Ovis aries: one gene and its partners. The protein of the gene in region 3 interacts with the protein of the main gene of each other region in a pairwise test. Links are inferred from orthologs where the notes say so. Each region holds a gene or a part of one and is shown on either strand. Other genes may lie near its edges. The genes, in order: AGTRAP, TFIP11, COQ8A, LDAF1 and TMEM239.

What was found.
Region 1: the proteins of COQ8A (region 3) and AGTRAP interact in binary tests that used the Homo sapiens proteins (3 or more experiments, as listed by UniProt). The two-hybrid records come from large-scale screens. The link is inferred for Ovis aries from reciprocal best matches to the Homo sapiens genes COQ8A and AGTRAP.
Region 2: the proteins of COQ8A (region 3) and TFIP11 interact in binary tests that used the Homo sapiens proteins (3 or more experiments, as listed by UniProt). The two-hybrid records come from large-scale screens. The link is inferred for Ovis aries from reciprocal best matches to the Homo sapiens genes COQ8A and TFIP11.
Region 4: the proteins of COQ8A (region 3) and LDAF1 interact in binary tests that used the Homo sapiens proteins (3 or more experiments, as listed by UniProt). The two-hybrid records come from large-scale screens. The link is inferred for Ovis aries from reciprocal best matches to the Homo sapiens genes COQ8A and LDAF1.
Region 5: the proteins of COQ8A (region 3) and TMEM239 interact in binary tests that used the Homo sapiens proteins (3 or more experiments, as listed by UniProt). The two-hybrid records come from large-scale screens. The link is inferred for Ovis aries from reciprocal best matches to the Homo sapiens genes COQ8A and TMEM239.

The regions. Positions count from the first base shown.
Region 1 is NC_056065.1:41,204,303-41,208,592, reverse strand, and holds the start of AGTRAP (type-1 angiotensin II receptor-associated protein), read left to right. Parts: upstream 1-1,481; 5' UTR 1,482-1,556; coding exon 1,557-1,691; exon of another isoform or gene 1,692-1,712; coding exon of another isoform or gene 1,713-1,739; intron 1,740-4,290. UniProt on the Homo sapiens protein: Appears to be a negative regulator of type-1 angiotensin II receptor-mediated signaling by regulating receptor internalization as well as mechanism of receptor desensitization such as phosphorylation.
Region 2 is NC_056070.1:66,361,925-66,365,433, forward strand, and holds part of TFIP11 (tuftelin-interacting protein 11), read right to left. Parts: intron 2,444-3,509; coding exon 2,290-2,443; intron 2,021-2,289; coding exon 1,864-2,020; intron 548-1,863; coding exon 420-547; intron 71-419; coding exon 1-70. UniProt on the Homo sapiens protein: Involved in pre-mRNA splicing, specifically in spliceosome disassembly during late-stage splicing events. Intron turnover seems to proceed through reactions in two lariat-intron associated complexes termed Intron Large (IL) and Intron Small (IS).
Region 3 is NC_056065.1:29,192,189-29,196,462, forward strand, and holds the start of COQ8A (atypical kinase COQ8A, mitochondrial), read left to right. Parts: upstream 1-1,469; 5' UTR 1,470-1,635; coding exon 1,636-1,689; intron 1,690-4,274. UniProt on the Homo sapiens protein: Atypical kinase involved in the biosynthesis of coenzyme Q, also named ubiquinone, an essential lipid-soluble electron transporter for aerobic cellular respiration.
Region 4 is NC_056077.1:19,455,667-19,459,742, reverse strand, and holds the start of LDAF1 (lipid droplet assembly factor 1), read right to left. Parts: upstream 2,808-4,076; 5' UTR 2,647-2,807; intron 1-2,646. UniProt on the Homo sapiens protein: Plays an important role in the formation of lipid droplets (LD) which are storage organelles at the center of lipid and energy homeostasis. In association with BSCL2/seipin, defines the sites of LD formation in the endoplasmic reticulum.
Region 5 is NC_056066.1:52,098,496-52,102,658, forward strand, and holds the start of TMEM239 (transmembrane protein 239), read right to left. Parts: upstream 2,807-4,163; 5' UTR 2,671-2,806; coding exon of another isoform or gene 2,580-2,670; 5' UTR 2,475-2,579; coding exon of another isoform or gene 2,335-2,474; 5' UTR 2,303-2,334; intron 2,242-2,302; coding exon of another isoform or gene 2,132-2,241; intron 1,979-2,131; coding exon of another isoform or gene 1,817-1,978; intron 501-1,816; coding exon of another isoform or gene 344-500; exon of another isoform or gene 281-343; intron 1-280. Other genes in the region: CPXM1 (probable carboxypeptidase X1), read left to right, coding at 344-500, 1,817-1,978, 2,132-2,241, 2,335-2,474, 2,580-2,670, 3,238-3,388, 3,473-3,561, 3,882-4,005 and 1 more.

The DNA of each region.
Region 1 (4,290 bases), about 12 Mb from region 3:
CATCCTTGGATTAAACACCTCTACAACTGAGTGACTTCACTTTCACTTTTCACTTTCTTGCATTGGAGAAGGAAATGGCAACCCACTCCAGTGTTCTTGCCTGGAGAATCCCAGTGACGAGGGAGCCTAGTGGGCTGCCATCTACGGGGTTGCACAGAGTCGGACACGACTGAAGTGACTTAGCAGCAGCAGCAGGATCCAGGGTTTATAGGAGACATCTCTTAGAAGGAAACAATAATGTTATAATATCCACTAGTTACTGAGGAATTCCTCTTTTCTAGGTACTATGCCAGTAACAATAATTTATGATAATTAACTAATAATGAATATCAAAACAGTAGCAAGTCCTGATCAAGGGCTGTCTGCCAGGCAATGTTCTAAACATTTTTACATATTAACAAATCCTTATTAACAAATTCAAAATAACCATCCTTCAAGGAAGATACTATTATTTCTCTCATTTTACGGATCAGAAAACTGAAGCACAGAGAGGCAAAGTGACTTGCTCAAGTAGAACCAGTAAGTGGACAAAGTTAGGACTCAAACTCTTTTCTCTGGTCCAGCTAGTCCTCTGGGCTCTGAATCCCAACAATCGTGCCCAGTGTAGCTATCTGTCCGGTCTCTGAAGCTTACCAGCTCTCTGTTACTCTGGCAGATGTGCTATTCTGCTCAGGGGGCTGGACAGCTGTGTCTCCAAAAGGGACATTCAAATAGGCCAGCGGACTCCGCGACCTTGCAGAAGACCCCACTGCTGCTGCTGCTAAGGCGCCTCAGTCGTGTCCGACTCTCTGCAACCCCATAGACGGCAGCCCGCCAGGCTCCCCCGTCCCTGCGATTCTCCAGGCAAGAACACTGCAGTGGGTTGCCATTTCCTTCTCCAATGCATAAAAGTGAAAAGTGAAAGTGAAGTCGCTCAGTCGTGTCAGACTCCACACCCACCTGGAAAACTCCGCTCTTTGTATCTAGAGTCTGTATCTTGATAGGATCTTAGGACCCACCCAGCCAGTCTTTCAGGTTTCCACGTGGTCTCTCCCCTCCTGGAAATAAGAATAAGCACTCAGCGGGACAGACCCAAGGGGATCCCAACAGTCTTGAATAAGTCTTCCTTACCTTTAAAGTAAGTGTCAGTATTTTTTCTTCAAACATGAATTAGTTCATTCATCCTCAGAAGGATTCTATGAGGTAGGTAACCGTCTTCACTTTCACTGGGGAAGGAGGGAGGAGAGACTGTGCCCTCAGGGATGAGACACCAGCTGTTACCACATCTGCAGATTGTACTTGGAGGTTCCCCCAAGTTCTCCTGGCTGCAGGTGGTCCCGTCAGCCCACCTGCTGGGATTTTAACTCGGCGAGATATTGCGCCCTTTGCGACACAAATCTGGATATTCTCCAGCCGCCCGCCACCCCGCCCCCGCCCCCGCCCCCGGCCCCGCCCCCGCCCCGGCCCCGGCCCGCCCCCGCCCCCGTCCCCGGCCCCGCCCCGTAACTACCTGGGCAGTGGCGCAGTGAAGGCTCAAGCAGCACGACGCCGTCTCCTAGATACCGGGCCGTCGTCACATGACCTACTCACGTGACCCCCCCCCCACAGCCCAGCTGGGGTTGGAGCTCTGGCAAAGGGCAGCCGGCGGGGCGGGGCTGGGCAAGTTTGTTTCCCGAGTTCGGAGACCAGGAGCCCCCGCGGTTGTGGCGCAGGTGCTGTCCGGTTGGGTCGCGATGGAGCTGCCAGCCGTGAACCTGAAGGTGGCGATGGGCGGGGCGGGTCTCCCGGAGCGTGTTGGGTATTTGCGCTTTTAGTAGGTGATTTTAGAGGTGAGGATTTTAGAGGTAGAGGACCGAGAATCTGGGGAAAGTGGAGTGGTGGGGAGAAAGAGAACGAACAGAGCCCAGGTGTAAGGAGGTGGGCGGACAGACCATACCAGGAAGACAGATCCAGAAGGCCAGCAGGAAAGACCGAGAGGGAGCTGGAGGAGGGAAGCAGCCGTCTCTTCCCTAAGACCGGTTCAGCTGGGAGCGCTGAGCCCCTGAGGCTCGCTTTGGCCTGCGCGCCCAGAATTTCTCTGGAGAAAGAGGAGAGCGTGGTGGGGAGGGACCCAAGGAGAGCCCGAGGCTGGACTTGGAGGCAGGACACCTGCCTTCCACCGAGAGAGGGGTAAAGCTTTCACCTGGACCCCCAACACTGCCCTTACCGCCTCTCTTGTTGGGAAGATCAAGTTAAGGAAATCAAATGATCCCAGACAGATGGTTTTTCAGAGTTGATAGATTCAACGTCTTTATTTCTTAAGCAACACAGACACCAATAGAATTTACTCAAAAGCAGAATCCCCCAACTTTGCACATTTAGGAAAACACTGTAGGTCGCTGGGGTGTCTTCATTTCCTGAGCTGTAAGAATGCCAAAGGCTGTTCTTCTTTTTCTCCCCGCCCTCCTCCAGCCCAGTGTTTCTTGGCTGGGTTTGCCACTGAGAGGCTGAAGCCTTTAGCTTTGGTCAGAAAGGTTTTAGCCTTGGACCAGACCTGCCATCTGCGGCCTAGGTACAGTTTCCTTTGAGATTGTATGCAGGAGTACCCTCTTATTCACCCTTGACAAAGCATTATGCACCCATGGTGTCTGGTCCTAAAGTAAGAGATAGATGACTACAGAACAATACATCATCCATATTTGGATTATTAGACATGGTCTGTGTTGTGACTTCACGTGGGCACATTTCCTTAATATTGAACACTTGCTTCAGCAGACCTCTCCGAGGCTTCCAGTCAACTGCTGCAGGGGGAGAGATGGCTGTGACAAGGGAATGGGCTTGGATTGAAGGTTTAGCAGGGAAGAAATTTACACGAGGGCAACTGAGGTTCATTGGTATCAACATTCACTCTGTTCCAGGCTGTGTGCAGTTAATGCCGACTACCTTTTCTCTGATTAGAGACTTGCCTAAAATAATTATTAAGGGGGAAGGAGGAAAGGGACAGAGGAGCAGGAACTGACGAGGGAGTGAGCCCTAATTCTTAGGGCGTCTGTGGTGTGCCGGGTTATTTATTTAGTCGTATCAACCTTCTGAGATTTTTGTAGCTGAGCCAACTTCAGCTCAGACCAGATAGGTAACTTGTCAAGGCCCCACAGAGATTAAGTGGCAGAGTCAGAATTTGAACCCATCACGGTCAGACTTCAAAGCTCTGTCTTTTCCTGGCCACCATTAGTTAGGGCCAACTTCTGCTTTGACAGTTAGTGCCCAGTGGGAGGGCTTAGTCTGTTTGTGGCTTTTTTTTTTTTTTTTTTTGGAGAAACTTTGTGGGCCTCACAGGCCACACGTGACCACAGATGTGAGCTTTGCCGGCTTTCACTGCCCACAGTGAAATAGCTGGTCCTTTCTTTGACTTGGGAAATAAAACACCATATCTCTAAGGGTCTTAGCTGCTACCAATCAGAGACAAGTAAGTGCTGAGAGGTCGTGAACAGCTAGGGTTGCCAGGTGACATTGAGGACATCCAGTTGAGTTTGAATTTCATATCAACAATGAATAACTTTTTAATCTAAGTATGAAAAGTGAAAGTCATTCAGTCGTGTCCAACTCTTTGTGACCCCAGGGACTGTACAGTCCATGGAATTCTCCAGGCCAGAATACTGGAGTGGGTAGCCTTTCCCTTCTGCAGGGGATCTTCCCAACCTAGGGATCGAACCTAGATCTCCCACATTGCAGGAGGATTCTTTACAGCTGAGCCACCAGGGAAGCCCCAGGATACTGGAGTGGGTTATCCTATCCCTTCTCCAGTGGACCTTATATCCCAGGCAATATTTGGAACAGTCTAGAAAATTATTCATTATCTGAAATTAAAGATTAACTAGGGGTTCTGTTTTTGTTGTTGTTTTTTCTGGCCTCCCACAGGAGTCTAAGTGGGCTATTCTGAGATCAGAACCCCTTGGGAGCTCAGAAAATGCCCAACCCCCCAACCCTGCACTACCCTTGCCCTCCTTTCACACATTCCTGGGGTATTGGCTCAGTGCCTGCTTGTGCCCAGCCCACCCACAGTAGGCAGTGGTGCCAGGTGAACAGAAGCAGCTGCCCCGGGCCCTCCAGGTAGTTCCTAACCCAATGCCACACATGAGGCAAGTCCTGAGCTGAAGGAACGTCATTGTGAGAGTTTAGAAAGTTCTAGACTTGGGTTCATGAGGGCTTGTGAGAAAAGGCCCTTGGGAGGAGGGTGCAGGGGGTTAGTATAGCATGAGGGTTAAGAATTCCGGAACCTGACTGCACAATAGTCAGGGACTGCCTTGTCTCGGGGCTTCCCAGGTGGCTGAG
Region 2 (3,509 bases), on a different chromosome or scaffold from region 3:
AAGAATACTTGGGTTTCTTCTTGCTTCCGCTGGGGTCTTTCCTCCACTGGCTCAGCTCCTTCTGAAATTCCTGAGTCAGAGGGACATGGTCCATCAGAAGATGAAAGGGCTGCTGAGACCTCCACACGGTTCCGTGCTGAGAATGGTGCTGTGTGATGCTGACCCCTCCGAGGAGGCTGCCTGACACCCACTCCCACCTACAAAGGCGAGACCCTGTCCCCACACCCCCATTTCTGACCACACTGGTTACTTGTATGCTGTGTTCCCTGTTGATGGTGGGACACCAGCCTCTGGCCCGTGCTAGTGCACAGCGTGAGCTCGACCCCGGAACCCCGGACGCTGGCTGAGCTAACGAACGAGCAGACAGACCAACCCCGACCAACAGGCGCACAGGCCAGCAGGGCCGCCTCCCAACCCACCTCCTCGGCCTCCTCTTCCGAGTCGACCACAGGGAAGTCCTGCAGGGACTGGGTGGTGCGCTCCGAGCCGTACGCCCCCACCGCACCTTTGCCCTTCCTCTGCTTGGCTTCGATTGGGTTAATGATGCCTGATGGATTTCAGAGAGACAGACTTGCGGTCATTGCCGTCATGTGGGTGTGCCACGCGCGGAGACCCGCTCCCTGGTCCTCCCATGGGACAGCACACCGCCCAGAGAGGAGCCGCTCCTGCCCGCCCCACCTGGCCCTGCTGCCGGTATCACAGAGCAGTGTGCCAACAGGAGCGCACGCAGGCCCTGAGGGCCGCTTCCACTGCGGTCACTCACTTACCAGACGGGAGTAGTTATAACCGACTCTGGCCTACGCTGTTTGCCTGGAAGCCAATCACTACGGGAAGGGTATGTTGATTCTGACTAAAGAGAGGGGGAGCCGCCATTTAAACACCATCTGTTTTCTTATTATATTATATATATACACACGCTTCCCTGGTGGCTCAGCTGGTAAAGAATCTGGCTGCAGTGCAGGAGACCAGGGTTCGATCCCTGGGTCGGGAAGATCCCCTGGAAAAGGGCATGGCAACCCACCCAAGGATGCTTGCCTGGAGAATTCCAGAGCAAAGGGGCCTGGTGGCTCCAGTCCATAGGGTCACAGAGTCGGACACGAATGAGTGACAATCACTCATCACTCATACTTATTACACTCGTATAATATTTCACATTGGTAGTTCCTATCTCTTACGCTTGCTTTGCTCTACACTAGTTTGCGCCTTGAAAATAAATGCATTTTTCTTGTAAAAAAGTTTACAAACAGGACTACAGCATTTCTGTGAAGAATTGCCCCCACCCCAAACTTCCCACCAGACCCTTTCCAGCTCATACTGTTGAGCTCCCAAATTAGAACAGCCTTCACTCTCATTCCAGGCCACCTTTCCAATCTTCACTCAAGTCCATGGATGCTTCATGCAGCTAAGCTACCTATCCTGCCCCTTTGTGAGCAGAGCCCAGGCACAGTAACGTGAACAAGGAGAGTGGGCTGTGGTGTGGAGACAGCTTGCAGAATAAGTAAACTGTAGGGGCTGACCGGGGCAGGAGTTGTCAGCTAACTCAATCCCTGCCAACCTCCTAAGCTGTAGCTTATCTACAACCTAGGAGAAACTGATTTTTAAACACTGGCAACTGATCTGACTTTTTAGAAACACTGGGCAGGCCAGAAAGAAGCTTGTTTTCAGCCCATCAGGCTGTATGAAGCCTGACCCCTCCCCCATGCTGAAATATGGCATCTTATGTAACCTGAGTTTTGATAAAGTGCGGAGCTTAGAGCACAACTGTCACATTCTGGCAGAAAAGCAACAAAGCAGAGCAAAGGCAGAGCGCGCCCCTCCCTGCCCCTGCCTGCCCCCCGAGTGCCCACGGGCGGGGCACCACACCTTGAGCGTTCTTCCCCAGGCCCCTTCCGGGCACGTAGCCCATTTTCTGAAGAAGCTTCTGTCCGATTCCTTTTGTGTGTCTTTCCCAGCTGCCGAAATCCATGAAAGACTTGGTTCCTCCTGCAAAACCTTTCTGGCTGGGCTTAAAATTGCCACCCTGAAAACAAAGAAGGAAAAACCTAAGCAAGCAAGCTCGGCTGATGCAACCATGGCCGGGCAGTCCCGGAGCTCTGTGAGAAGTACCCTATGAACCACAAGGACCCCAGGGACGTCTCCGGACAGTGCAAAGACTGCCCGGCACAGCCACCCCTGGGAAACCTGCTCCCACAGGGAGAGGCCCACATGACCGGCCCCCAGCAGATGCCAGGGCCACAGCGACCTTCTGGGGACATTACAAAGGTCACAGCCCTTCAATAAAGATGCTACCGTTTTTAACTTCTTTGGTCCGAAATCCTTAGGAAATTCATCCTGCTTCACGGGTTTCTCTTCATCATCGGAGTCCTCCAGCTCCGCCTCCTCTGCCGCCCCCTTCTTGAGCCCCGCGCTGATGAAGTTGACAGGGGCCGAGTAGTCGCGGGCCCTGCAGGCAAACACAAGGGGGTCTGTAAGAACTCTCTCAGGAGAGCTCCTTAGAGCACACCTCATGGGATCCATTTCAAAAGAGCAGCGCTGACTCCTGTCCTCAGTGCCCCAGACCCGGCTCCCCTGTAATCACATTCGACACTTTGACCTGATGTCTCAACTCTGTGACTTCAGACTTACCAATGACGGCATAGAGTTGACTAAAAATTCTAAGTATGATGTGACTGTCCGCCTTTCCTTTTAGTTAATACATTAAAAAAAACCTCAAAACAAAAGCTATGACTTGAGGACTTCCCTGGTCGTCCAGTGGTTAAGAATCTGCTGCCCACACAGGGGACAGAGGTTCAGTCTCAGCTCGGGGAAGATCCCACATGCCATGGGCAACTAAGCCCATGCGGCTTCTAGCCCACGCTCCACAACTAAAGAAGCCCCCACGACGAGAAGCCTGTACATGGCAACTAGAGGGCAGCCCCATCTCAGCTAGAGAAAGCCTGCACAGCAAAGACCCAGTGTGGCCAAAAGTTAATTAACATTAAACAACAGTAACTTGGTAAATTCGATTAAGGCAGGAAAAGGTTTAAGAAATAAAGCCTGTTAATAGTACTAGTAAAATGGAGGAATACATTCAAACATCAGTAATCATAACAACTGATGATAATAAACATAAATAGGAAGCCGTCAAACAGGAGATGGCAAGAGTGAACACTGACATTTCAGGAATCAATGAACTAAAATGGACTGGAATGGGTGTATTTAATTCAGATGACCATTATATCTACTACTGTGGGCAAGAATCCTTAAAAGAAATGAGGTAGCCATCATAGTCAAAAAAAGAGTCTGAAATGCAGTACTTGGGTGCAACCTCTAAAATGACAGAATGATCTCTCTTCGTTTCCAAGGCAAACCATTCAATATCACAGTAATCCAAGTCTATGCCTCGACCAGTAATGCTGAAGAAGCTGAAGTTGAACAGTTCTATGATGACCTATAAGACCTTCTAGAACTAACACCAAAAAAAGATGCCCTTTTCATCACACGGGACTGGAATGTAAACGTAGGAAGAC
Region 3 (4,274 bases):
AGGCAAATAACCCCAAACACTGCTAGGGCCACTGCTAGGGCACGCCGGCCTGAGGCGTGGGAGGCCGGCCAATGCTGCCAGCCCAAAGCGAAACGCAAGTGGGCGGGGCCGGGCGCCGGAGGCGGACGTGCCTTCAGCAGGCCCGCAAGGCTTCCCAGCTCTGTGAGTCCCTTCTGGGGAACCGGGAGAGGGCTCCTCTCCTCATTACATAACGGCCTGAGCGGAGCGGGCCCGCTGTAGTCGCGACGGCTCCTTCCTCCGCCTCTACAAAGCCCGGGGAGTACCAGCCCGGGACAAGACAGCCGACAGCGGTCACCGCAGCTGCGTTTGCCGTCCCGTCTGGAGAAGGCAGAGGTCTCCGGGCACACGCGAGATGTCTCTCTAAACCCAATGCGTGGTCCTCAGTCCGGCTTTTTCAACTAGGGGAGAGAGCAGCAGCGAGGGGGAAGAATGGGAGGGGCCCTGCGCGCTGAGGAGGTCTCCCATTGGCTCCTCTCTCTCCGCTCTCAGACCCCATTGGCCGCGGGTCGAGCGCACGGGCCGAGCACGCTGCCCCGCGACGCGCGGCGTTGGGCTGAGGCGGCGGCGCAGCCAATGGGAGTGGCCCGCGGGGCAGGGCTGAGGGCTCTGGGTCTCCGGGCGCGGGCGAGTTGGTAAACAGATCCGGAGCGCGTGCCGGGCGCCAGCGCTGAGGCGAGCGCGCGGAGGTTGCGCGAAGGTGACCGCGGATCCTAGCTTCCTGCAGCCGGGTAAGGCTGCTGCCCGCCGGCCGCCGCGTGCCCTGGGCGCCGCCTGCCTGAGGCCAGAGCAGGGCTAACCTCCCGCTTGGGCCCTTCTTGCATCCTCAAGTGACAGCGCGGCTTCCCCTTTGCGAGTTTCATTTGCCCCGAGTTCCGGGCCACGGCGCGGTGGGCGCGCTTCAGAGTGCAGGGTGGGCGCCTACGGCTGTCTGCTACCCCCGTTCCCACAGCCCATATCTGTCTCGGGGAGGGTGTGAAGGCTCCCTGCCAAAGCCTTGGGTCCTCGGAACTCGCCTAGCAGCCCTGGTGACCTGATGCCTTGTTTCTTGGTCGCCAGTACTGCTTTCCTGCCTCGCTTTCTTACGATGACATTTCTCTTCACGCCTAGACCCCTTTGCACTGTCTCAGGGGCGCTAATTGTCCCTGGCCTGAGGTTTGTGTCAGAACGTTGACGCCCTTGGCCCTAGCCAGCTGTTGGGTTTCACTGGTGAGGGTTTTGTATGAACATGGGAATGAGGGTCCTTTTTGGTTCTGTTCTCTGTTGGCTTTTCTTTGGCCCGTCCTCCTGCTTCTTCAAACACTGGGGTTCTTGTCAATGGTCGTGCCTTTCCCCAGTGCCTGCCCCTCTGCCAAACGGAGGCCGGTCCTCCCATGTACCTTGTGGGATGGGGAATACTGCTGGGGGGGCCGGTCTGGATGCTGGAACTCTCCATTTGGATGACAGGTGCCAGTCCTCTGAAGGCTGAGCGGCTTCTGTGCAGCCTTTCATCCTGGGTAGGGCCTGCAGCCCATTGGGAAACTCATCTATGCTCAGTTGGGCCTTGGGTGTGCGTGACAGAAGACTGAAGAGTTGGACCTGCCAGGCCTAACTTGCTGTTGAAGGATTTGAGGGTGCATGATGCCAGCTTGCCAGCTGTTATGCTGGCAGGAGGGCCCATCTCTGGAGAAGGTACAAAGCAGGAGGGTGCGGGGTGGGGGGGGGGACTGGTGATTCTCAGGGGAAACACCTTTATGATTGATGATGGCTTTGGGTATTTTCAACTTTGAAAATGATGCAGACAAAACAGGGTTATGATTTGGGGCCTGACCTTGGACAACTCAAAGGAAAAGTGAACCAAGGTGGTCTGAATGCTTCCCTGTGTGTCGCATAAGCCAGGGTTTCTCAATTTTCAGCAGCATCCCTGGCCTCTATCCATTAGATGCTAGTAGTACCCCGCTCATCTTCCCCCACTAGTTGTGGCAACCAAAATTGTCTCCACACATTGCCAGATGTCTCCTGGAGGACTCAGTCAACCTTGGTTGAGAACCACAGAGATAAAACTGTAAGAGTCTTCCTGTGCTGCCAGAGGCCCCCTGGGACCTGTCCATGAGCAGCTGAGAAGTTTAGGTAGCAGATAGCACTGTGCTCTCTGTCCTAAACCAATGATAGAAGCCATGTTGGTTGGCCTTCAAGGGAATTTCCTTACCCTCTTCTCCATACCTGGGGGGATAGGAGTGAGATAGGAAGTTAGAAACCTATGGGCATTAGCTGAATGCATGGCAGAGACTGAATCCAGAATACAAAAGAAGTGGGGATGCATACTAAGTCGCTTCAGTCGTGTCCGACTCTTTTCGACCCTATGCACTGTAGCCTCCTCTGTCCATGGGATTCTCCAGGTAGGACTACTGGAATGGGTTGCCATGCCCTTCTCCAGGGGATCTTCCCAACCCAAGGATCCAGCCCAGGTCTCATGTCTCCTGCATTGGCAGGTGGGTTCTTTACCACTAGTGCCACCTGGGAAGTCCAAAAGAAATGGGAGACTTGTGGTTTCTGTCTTTGGGGACTTTGCAAGACTGTGGGAGATATGCATGTGAAATAACCATGGGGTGGTTTGTAAACCGTGAGCAAAGAAGTTTAAGCTGTCAGTGCTGACTGAAAGGCCAGTTCAGTTTTCCATAAGTGGCTTTTGCAAAGGGATGCTTTGCTCATCCTCACTTATTTACTAAGACATCTATTACGTTTTATGATGTGAGAGGGGGCTAGGCCCATGTCTGCAGAGAGAAAGTGTCTGCATTTCAAACATGTATGTGGGTGTATTTACTTGTACCGTGTACACCTCCAGAAAGAGGCTACCCAGAAGTGTACTGGTGCAGAATGGACACATGCTTTTCCCGTTGATTAAAGCATCAGAGACAGTGTCAGAGACAATGAGCCATTTGTTTTTGCAGGGAAAGTCATTTTACTTCTGAGTCTAGAGTTTGTCTTCACTTTAACCCAGAATTTATGCCCCAAATTCCAAAGTCCCAAACTGATGGGGATGCCAAAAAGTGAAGAAACAATGATTATTGGACAGGAAAAACACCCCAAGTCCCTATCGTGGATTTCCTTTTCTTGTCATTGATTGGTCCTATGGGGATGTATCAGGATTTTCCCATAACACTCCTTGGTTTACTAGGGGGTCTTTTGGGTACCCTTTCTTGCCTGTAGAACAGAATCTGGACAGGGAGGTCAGTCTTCCTTTCTCAAAAAGAAGTTTAGAGAAGCTTATTATTGGGAAGCTCCAAACTCGGCAGGATGATTTTCCATCAAGAGCTGTGGACACTGAGTCATTATCTTTGTCAGTTGAAACAAGAGCTGTGTGCAAAATTAGACAGGAATATTTAGAGAGTTGTCTTGATCTGACAGTGGCATCTGGAAATAGTTCCAGCATTCTTGCTAAACAACAGCCAGGAACTTGGGAGAGCCAGAGAAAGAAGAGCCGGTGGGAGGGGGGAATGTGAGGGTCCTGCTCCATTAGGAGTTGTGCCCATGCAGGGAGAGGGAGTAGTGGGAATGGGGTCTGCTGACTCTGAAGCAGGGTCAGGACCCTGAGTGGGGTGCATCTGGGTGGGCTTCTCCCCACAACTTTCAAACCTGAGTGGTGTGTTAACAAGCATGTTGTTCATTGTGGGGTTATAGGCTCCTGAGCTCTTGACCTTTTTGCTTTGAGGTCATGGGCCTACAGTATATTTAAAGTTGGAAATGATCCTGAAAAAAATCTTTTTATTCTTCATACTTGAATATGACTTATTTTTTTTGTTCTGTCCATGCAGAGAAGGATTCATGAGAAAGTTGAGAGTTTTTCACTCAACTTGCCATTTCAGAGTATTGTAGATTCTCTAATAGTGACTGAGTTCTTGTCTCCAGAGCCCTCAGCTTGCTTTCAAAAACATTGTCCCATTTCCTTCTGGGTGGAGGGAGAGGGGCTGCGTTTGGTCCAAACCTGGGAAATCGTGTGTACCCTAAGGGTTGGTGCCCCTCCATGTCCTGCCCTGAAGAAAAGCCCTCTGTGACATTGTGGGTGGGCTTCCCAGGGGGCACTAGTGGTAAAGAACCCACCTGTCAACGCAGGAGATGTAAGAGATGTGGGTTCGATCCCTGGATTGGGAAGATCCCTTGGAGGAGGGCCCGGCAACCCACTCCAGTATCCTTGCCTGCATGGACAGAGGAGCCCGGTGGGCTACAGTCCATGGGGTTACAAAGAGTCGGACATGACTGTAGCACTTTAGCAGCAA
Region 4 (4,076 bases), on a different chromosome or scaffold from region 3:
AAGGGTAACCAGGCAGTATCCACCAAAATATCAAATTGTACACACCTTGACCCAAAAATTTATTTTCCAGGAACCTGAGTTTCCAGGCTAAATAATGATAAATTCATACAATGGAGTCGGAGAAGGCAATGGCACCCCACTCCAGCACTCCTGCCTGAAAAATCCCATGGACGGAGGAGCCTGGTAGGCTGCATTCCATGGGGTCGCGAGGAGTCGGACACGACTGAGCAACTTCACTTTCACTTTTCACTTTCATGCACTGGAGAAGGAAATGGCAACACACTCCAGTATTCTTGCCTGGAGAATCCCAGGAACAGGGGAGCCTGGTAGGCTACCGTCTATGGGGTCGCACAGAGTCGGATACGACTGAAGCGACTTAGCAGCAGCAGCATACAATGGAGTATTGTATAGCCATTAAGATGATGTTGACACTTATTTAATGAAAATATGTCTATGATGTGAAAAAATTATAAAATACCGATTATTACATTTTATGTATATATCCATAATATACATATATCCACAGTAAAATAAAAGATCTAGATGCACATATAATAAAATGTTAATGGTATCATCTCTGAGAGCTTATGTTTATTTTTTTAGCCTGATAAAATGCTGAAAAGAATACAGAAGAAAGTAAGGCTGAAGACACTATTTTGAGTCCCACTGCCTTTTTTTTTGCCAGAAAGCCTTCTCAAACATATGACCATGGCCAATTTCTTTATTTACTACCCACACTAAATAGGTTGGCTCCCAATCACATTATGCCATAAATTACTCTCTATTTACTTGTAAGTCTCATTTCCATAATAAGAGAGGGACAAACTTTGCCACAATTATACTCTGTGACTCAATGGCCTGGAATTTCCAGGACGGTCCCAATAATAAAAGCTGTTTGTTAAATTATATATCTATTTTTTAAACCCTTTTTAATTTTTATATAAACAAATACATTATTATTTTATATTTTCCAGAACAATACTGTAAGGCTGGGCTGGACACAGAGATATCTTTTCCATTATTCCTTACAACTTATCTCCTGACCTATAGCACAAGTGCTAAAAGATTCTATCACAGTGGACAAAATTAACTGAGAGACGTTCATATTTATTTACCATACTCAACATCCCACATGGTAATTATGCGAGATGGGAAGTGATGATGGTGGTTTAATTGGTAAATCATGTGGAATCTTGGGACCCCCATGGACTGTAGCCTGCCAGGCTTCTCTGTCCATGGGATTTCCCAGGCAAGAATACTGGAGTTCTTCTCCAGGGGATCTTCCTAACCTAGGGATTCAACTTCCCTACTCTCAAATCTGTAACAGGCACAAACAAGCCCAGCTACAGTCACTGGTTCCCAAGGCCTTGGAAACCTAGGGGCCATCCGGACCTGTCTGGGAAGTTCAGTGTGGATAGTCTCCCGCATTCCACGCAGATTCTTCACCACTGAGGCACCAGGGACGACACATCTCCTAATATCTATAGGGTCTGCTGTTGTTGTTTAGCTGCTAAGTCATGTCGGATTCTTTGCGACCCCATGGACTGCAGCCCGCCAGGCTCCTCTGTCCATGGGATTCTCCAGGCAAGAAGACTGGAGTAGGCTGCCATTTCCTTCTCCAATAGGGTCTAGTAGCAAATTAAAGCACATTTTTAATCACCCAGCTAGAGATTCTCTGCTACAATCCCTTTTGTGAAACAGGAATCCCCTGGACTGGACAGGACTAGACCCTTCATCCCTATATTCTGTCTCTGAAGCTGCAGCTGGCACAGATTAGAATTGGCCATGTTCCCAGCACTCAACTCCCCTAATCTCAAATCTGCAACGGGCAGGAACAAGCCCAGCTCCCATCACTGGTTCCCAGGGCCTTGGAAACCTAGGGGCCATCGGGACCGGTTTGGGAAGTTCAATGTGGATAGCGTGGGTAGAAAGCCATTGGCCACAGCCATAAAATGCAATCAGCTGGCCACCAATCCCCAGACCCCCTAGTCACTCACTCCTCGGAGGGGCCTCCTCAAGCAAAGACAGGTCTCAGGAGGAGGGAAGGGGGCAACCCCTTAATCCGACGCACCGCACAGTTCCCCGCCTTCTGCCTTCTCCAGGCCTTCCGGGCTGAGCCAGGAAAACACAAGCCAAACCGCCCTTTCCCTTCCACGGCCCACCCGCTAAAAGCCCCCCTCTCTTCCTCGCCCACCCGTCCCAGGACAAACGGAAACCCTGAACGTTCCAGCCGGGATGGAGAGAAGTCGCACCGAGTACCCCGTCATTAATTTGGGGAGGAGAATCCACCTTTGGTACCTCCTGCAGCGACGGGGCAGGGAGACCCCGTAGGGATGAGGGCATCCATTTTTTTATGATTCCTAAAGAGGAGGTGTGGAGACTTCCCAACCAGGTTTCCCAAGAAAGGGAGGGGTCTTCGGGGTTGGATAGGGGTGGCAACCCTTTACCGAAAGCAGTAGCAGGTGTAGGAGTGTGTGTGTCGCAGGGGCTGGGGAGGCATGAGACCTCCCTTAGTAGGAGGGGGGTGTGTGTTTGTGTCTAGCAGCGGCCGGGAAGGATGGGACTCCGCGTGTGTGTGTGCGTGTGTGTGTGTGTGTGTGTGTGTGTGTGTGTGTGTGTATGTCACCGACTCCCCTTTCAACCCACCTCCTCCCCCGCGCTCCTCCATTTGTCCAGCCCGGCCCAGAGGTCTAGCCAGCCGGGGCCCTCGGTTCCCCAAGCCCGAGCTCTCACCTGGTCCCCGGGGCCGTGGTGCAGGAGGAGCAAAGGAGAGCTGACGGAGCCGTGGGGTCGGCGCGTGAGCCTCCGCCCTCGCCTGCGCCCCAGCCAGCTACCCACCTCCGCCGCGTGGCCCCGCCCCGCTCTTCCCCTTCCTTTCCCCGCCCCTGCCCTTCGCTCGGCTCCAGCCTCCGCAGTTCTCCCAGGGCTGCCTCCTTCAGCATTTTGGAGCTTCCGGGAGAAACCCGAACGAGGAGCACGTGAGGAAACTAAGGCGCAGAGAGAGTTGTCGTTCCTACACTCTTGGCTTGTGGTGAGGGTGCCCCGGCCATCTCTGAGACAGGTGAACTGGCAGGTATAAATGGGTTTTCACAGGGTCTTAGGGCTTCTGCCTAAATACCCTGAGCTACCTCTTCTGGAAGCATCTCTGGAGCTCAGGACAGACAAGTGATGAGCTGATTCCTTTACTGGAAGGTTTTCACCACTACTTCTCAAATGCAAACATCATGAGCCAATGAGATCCTTAAAAACTCTGTTAGATTAGTATCTCCATTTTATACATAAAAACGTCTAATCCAGAGCCAGAATGCATGTTCCCTGACCTGAAATCCAGCCCTATCGTAGGGTTTTTTCAAGGGACAGCGCCATTGACATTTTGGGCAGAAAAGTTCTGTGTTGAGGGGACTGTCCTATGCCTTGTAGGATGTTTAGCAGCATGCCTGACCTCCAACCACTAGATGCCAGTAGTACTTTCCTTCCCTGCAAACAACCAAAAATGTCACCAAACATGAGCAAATGTTCCCTGCACAGTTGTCTAGGTTGAGAACAAATGCCATAGAACATATTGGTGAAGACAGTGAACCGGGACCCAACAGTGCTAGACTCTGGTCCCAAGTCAGACTCTTACTATGAGGCCATGGAAGAGTTATCTCTCTGCAACCACTTCATCTGTAAAATGGAGAGAAGGATAGACTTGAGAAATCGGTCCACTACTGCACAGTTCTCAGGTTCCGTCCATCTGGGGACATGTATTGATCTACTTTCATCTGTGACTTGGGTCAATAGCCCCCTGGAAAATAGCTCTTGAAGAAAGAGAAGAGCAATCACAGGGTTGTAGTGAGGACTGGTGCAATAATGGCTGTAAAGAACTTAGCACCTATCAGGAACATGGAAGGAGCCCAGAAATATTTAATGTATTGTCCTTTTTTTAACCTATGTTTTTTCAAGGTTATTTGGTTTCTTTTTTTCCTTTTTTTAATTGCAGTAGAGTTAGCATATAACATATGACATATAAGTATTAGTTCAGGTGTATGATTTGATATTTGTTTATATTGCAAAATAATCATCACACTAAGCAG
Region 5 (4,163 bases), on a different chromosome or scaffold from region 3:
AGTAGAATCCAGGGAGCCTGGGGCCTTTGCGACGGTAAAGGGCAGAGCCCGAGCGAGGCGGGAGCTCGAGGGCGGATGCGGAGGGGCGGGGGGAGTGGAGATGAGGGCAGGGTCGGTGGGTGCGGAGACCCGGGGCGGCCAGCCTGGGCCCTCCCCTTGCTCCTCCCTTCTCTTCCTCCCCTCCCCTCCCAACCCCTCGGCTCCCGGGTCCGAGGCCAGCGAGCCGGCTGTGGGCGGGCGTGCAGCGGCGGCAGGAAGGGGCGGGGGGCTCCGGAGCCCCAGCAGGAAAAGGCGAGCCCACCGGCCGCCGCGAGACCAGTGCGTCCGCGCCCTGGACCCCGCCATGTGGGGTCTCCTGCTCGCCTTGGCCGCCTTCGCGCCTGCCGTCGAGGTGGATCTAGGGGCGCCCAGCACCTCCGTGCTGGGCCTGGCGACCACCAAGGCCCCGGTCCCGACCCCCCGTAGCAGCCCGGCTCAGCCGTCCGCGGGGAAGGAGAAAGGTGAGCTTCCGTCCTACCCACGGCCCGCTTCTCCCGCTAATCGGTTGTCCCACTCTTCCGACCCCCGTGTGGCGACCCCTCCCCAGCACGCGCGCACACACCTCACACACGCCACACACGCCGCACTCTGCCTAGCGCCTGGGTGGCGACTCTGCCCCACGCGCACACACTCCCTGCGCGGTACAATGGCTGCTGACTCAGCAGCCCTAGTTCCCGGCCAGACCAAGTCAGCAGTCCTGGGACAGGAGCCAGTGGGATGCTGCTTCTTCCAGCCCCAAACTTTCTTGTTTCTCGGATGGGGAAACTGAGGCTAGAGCCAGGAGGAGGGTAGAGAGAGGTGCAAAGACACCGAGGAGGGTGCAGAGCAAGACTGTGTGGGCTTGAGCCAGCGGTTGAAAGGAAAGAACAGGGGAAGGGAGGAAGCGCTCTCTGCCAGGTGCCCTGGAGGGACGCGGCTCTGCCTGGGGTGGGGACCAGGAAGGCTGCCGGACTTCTCAGCTTCTCAGAGGTGGCAAGAGAGAGGAGGAAAGCACGGGGATTGGCAGCCTCAGAGGGCTTCTTGGGAGAGGCAGGTGGAACTGGTTCTGAAAGGTAGCTCTGAATTAGGAAGAGCTGAAGAGGAGCGCAGCCAAGAGGGAAACAGTATGTGCAAAGGTACCAACCCCTGACACAGTTATGTGCAGTGTGTGTGTGGGGGGTGGGGTGGGCAGCTGTGGATCTCAGTGGGGAACCAGTGGCATCTGCCCTGTGCCATGAATGCTTTATACTGAAGGGCAGGCAGGGCAGGGGTCCAAGTCTGGAAAGCTGGAAAACCTGGACAGACATGAGTTTGAGGACAGGACCTCTCAGCACAGTGATGGAAGTGGCACAGAGGCTTTGAGGGCATGAGACTGAGCCTGGAGCTAAGGAAGGCTCCCCGAAATGCATCTGGACTGAGATGTGAAGAAAGAATGGGAATTCGAAAAGAAAGTCAAAGGTGATGGATATACGATAGGGAAGGGGACAGCCAGGAAAAGAAGGAGTTAAAGAACTAACTTCAGCTCTTTGGAGCAAGCAAGTAGTTCCTGGTGGCAGTGTAGCCCTCTATTGGTGAGGGCCAAGCAAGTAGTCACACCAGAGGGGAGAAGGAATCAAGGAAGTGGCTGGAACAGTAGGTTGGGGTCAGACTGAGGGCCTTAAAGTCCATGCTAAGGTCCTTGGATACGTGTGGTGGGGCCTTCTGTGGACTTGCAGGTTTTCTTGGGGTGGTAGACCGCTCCATTTGAGGTTTCCTGCCATCCTTTCCTTCCCTGCTGCTCTGCCTGTTTGGTCTCCAGGGACTTCAGAACAGCATGTCCGGATTCGAGTCATCAAGAAGAAAAAGATTGTCACGAAGAAGCGAAAGAAGCTAACTCACCCCAGACCCCCAGTGACTGCCAGGCCTTCAGTGACCACCAGCCCTACAGGGACCCTTGACCTCACTGAGAAGCAAGAACCAGGTACCACCACTCCAAGGGCCTTGCCCAGACTTGCAGTCTCTGGGACATGAACTAATGTAGCTCTTGGCCACACGGGCAAGCTTGGGTTCAGCTTTCCACCTGCTCTGACCACTGTTTCTCTGGTCCCAACTTACTGATTTGTCCCTGTCCCAGACTGTCCCCCTTTGGGCCTGGAGTCCCTGCGAGTTTCAGATAACCAGCTCTACGCATCTAGCAGCCAATCCTTTGGTCTTGGACCACACAGAGGACGGCTCAACATCCAGGTCAGCAAGGCAACCCCTAGGACCTTCTTCCCTGCCCCTCCCACCTTCCCTTAAGGCCTACCCAGTTCTGATTGCTGCGTCCCGTGCCCACAGTCAGGCCTGGAAGATGGTGATCTTTTTGATGGGGCCTGGTGTGCCGAGCAGCAGGATGCTGAGCCATGGCTTCAGGTGGATGCTGGACACCTCACCCGCTTCTCGGGCATTATCACACAGGGCAGGAACTCCATCTGGAGGTGAGGCAGGACAGCTCCAGGCCAGGAAAGTTATGGGCAGACTCAGGAGGACTGGGGTGGGAGGCTTGGGGGCCACCCATGATCTCTACCCACCTTTCCTGCCAGGTATGACTGGGTCACTTCATACAAAGTCCAGTTCAGCAATGACAGTCAGACCTGGTGGGGGAGTAAGAATCGCAGCAGCGGGATGGATGCGGTGAGAAGTCCCATGGTGGCTGGGGCCCTCTATGCTGGGAGCTGGGCTCCTGGCCCACTGTAGGGTGCTGGGCTGGGCTTGGACTCCTCTGAGGACAAGACACAGGTGCCCACTTTGGCATCCCAGGAGAAAGGGTGGGTGGCACCCAGCAGACAGCCTCAGGAGCCAGGTTGCTTTGGACCATGCCCGCATCCTTCCCAAATACTTCGTCATGCCACAGCTTCCTGCTGGAACACCCCTTCTGGCGATGGGCCTCAGTCCTTGCATCACTTCTCATCTCCTCAGGCTACAGTGTGGGATCCTGGCCAGCTTCAGGATTGCCTACTGCTGAGTCACATGGCCATATTGGTCTAATGAGCTGTGACTAAACTGGAAAGGATGACTGCCTAGGGCTGCCTGTTAGCAAAGGATGTGGGCAGCAATCTGTGTTTGACGCAGAGAGCAAGTGTCTAGCTGAGCCCACTAGGGTGGGTTTTTCAGTGAGCTCACAGGCCTGAGCATCTTCCTGGGCCCTGAGCCAGGCTGCCGGGGTTCAAGCGGCCCTTACAAAGGACTTGATGCCCTCAGGTATTTCCTGCCAATTCGGATCCAGAGACACCAGTGCTAAATCTCCTGCCTGAGCCCCAGGTGGCCCGTTTCATTCGCCTGCTGCCCCAGACCTGGCTCCAGGGAGGTGCATCTTGCCTCCGGGCAGAGATTCTGGCCTGCCCAGTCTCAGGTGGGGAGAAAGACAAGGGTTAGTTGGGCAGGGCACACCCTCCCCTGGGAATTCACCATTTACTGTGAACTCATCCTCTACCAGATCCCAATGGTCCGTTCCCTGAGGTTCCCGTGCTGGGATCCTCCGACTCACTAGACTTCCGGCATCATGATTATAAAGCCATGAGGAAGGTAACCCCTATGACCCAGGAGGGAGGATCTGCTCATCTCAGGTCTCCTGCCCACCAGGGCATAACTTGCTATGATTGCCCTCGTGTCCCTCTCCATCTCACCCTCTTTTTGACCCCTAAACTTCTACGATTTCCCTTGCTTTGGTGCCTCTCTTATTCTGACCGTTCCTTCCTTGGCTCCTGCCCCCTCCTGTATTGCGCCAATGGTGTCCCCATCGTATGGGCCCTCGCAAACTTTTGAAGTCCTTCTATGGCCTCGTGTGGTCTGAGCCCTGGGTCTGCTCCTCCCATGCCCCTCACCATGCTACACTCACCCCCCAGCTGATGAAGCAAGTGAACGAGCAATGCCCCAACATCACCCGCATCTACAGCATCGGGAGGAGCCACCAGGGCTTGAAGCTGTATGTGATGGAAATGTCAGACCAGCCCGGGGAGCATGAGCTGGGTACTGGCAGGTGGGGTGGAAGAGGTGGGCACAGCAGCAGGGAGGGGCAGGTGCATGAGCCAGCTGCAAGCCCCTATTTGTTCCCAGGAGAGCCTGAGGTACGCTATGTGGCCGGCATGCATGGGAATGAGGCCTTGGGGCGGGAGTTGCTCCTGCTT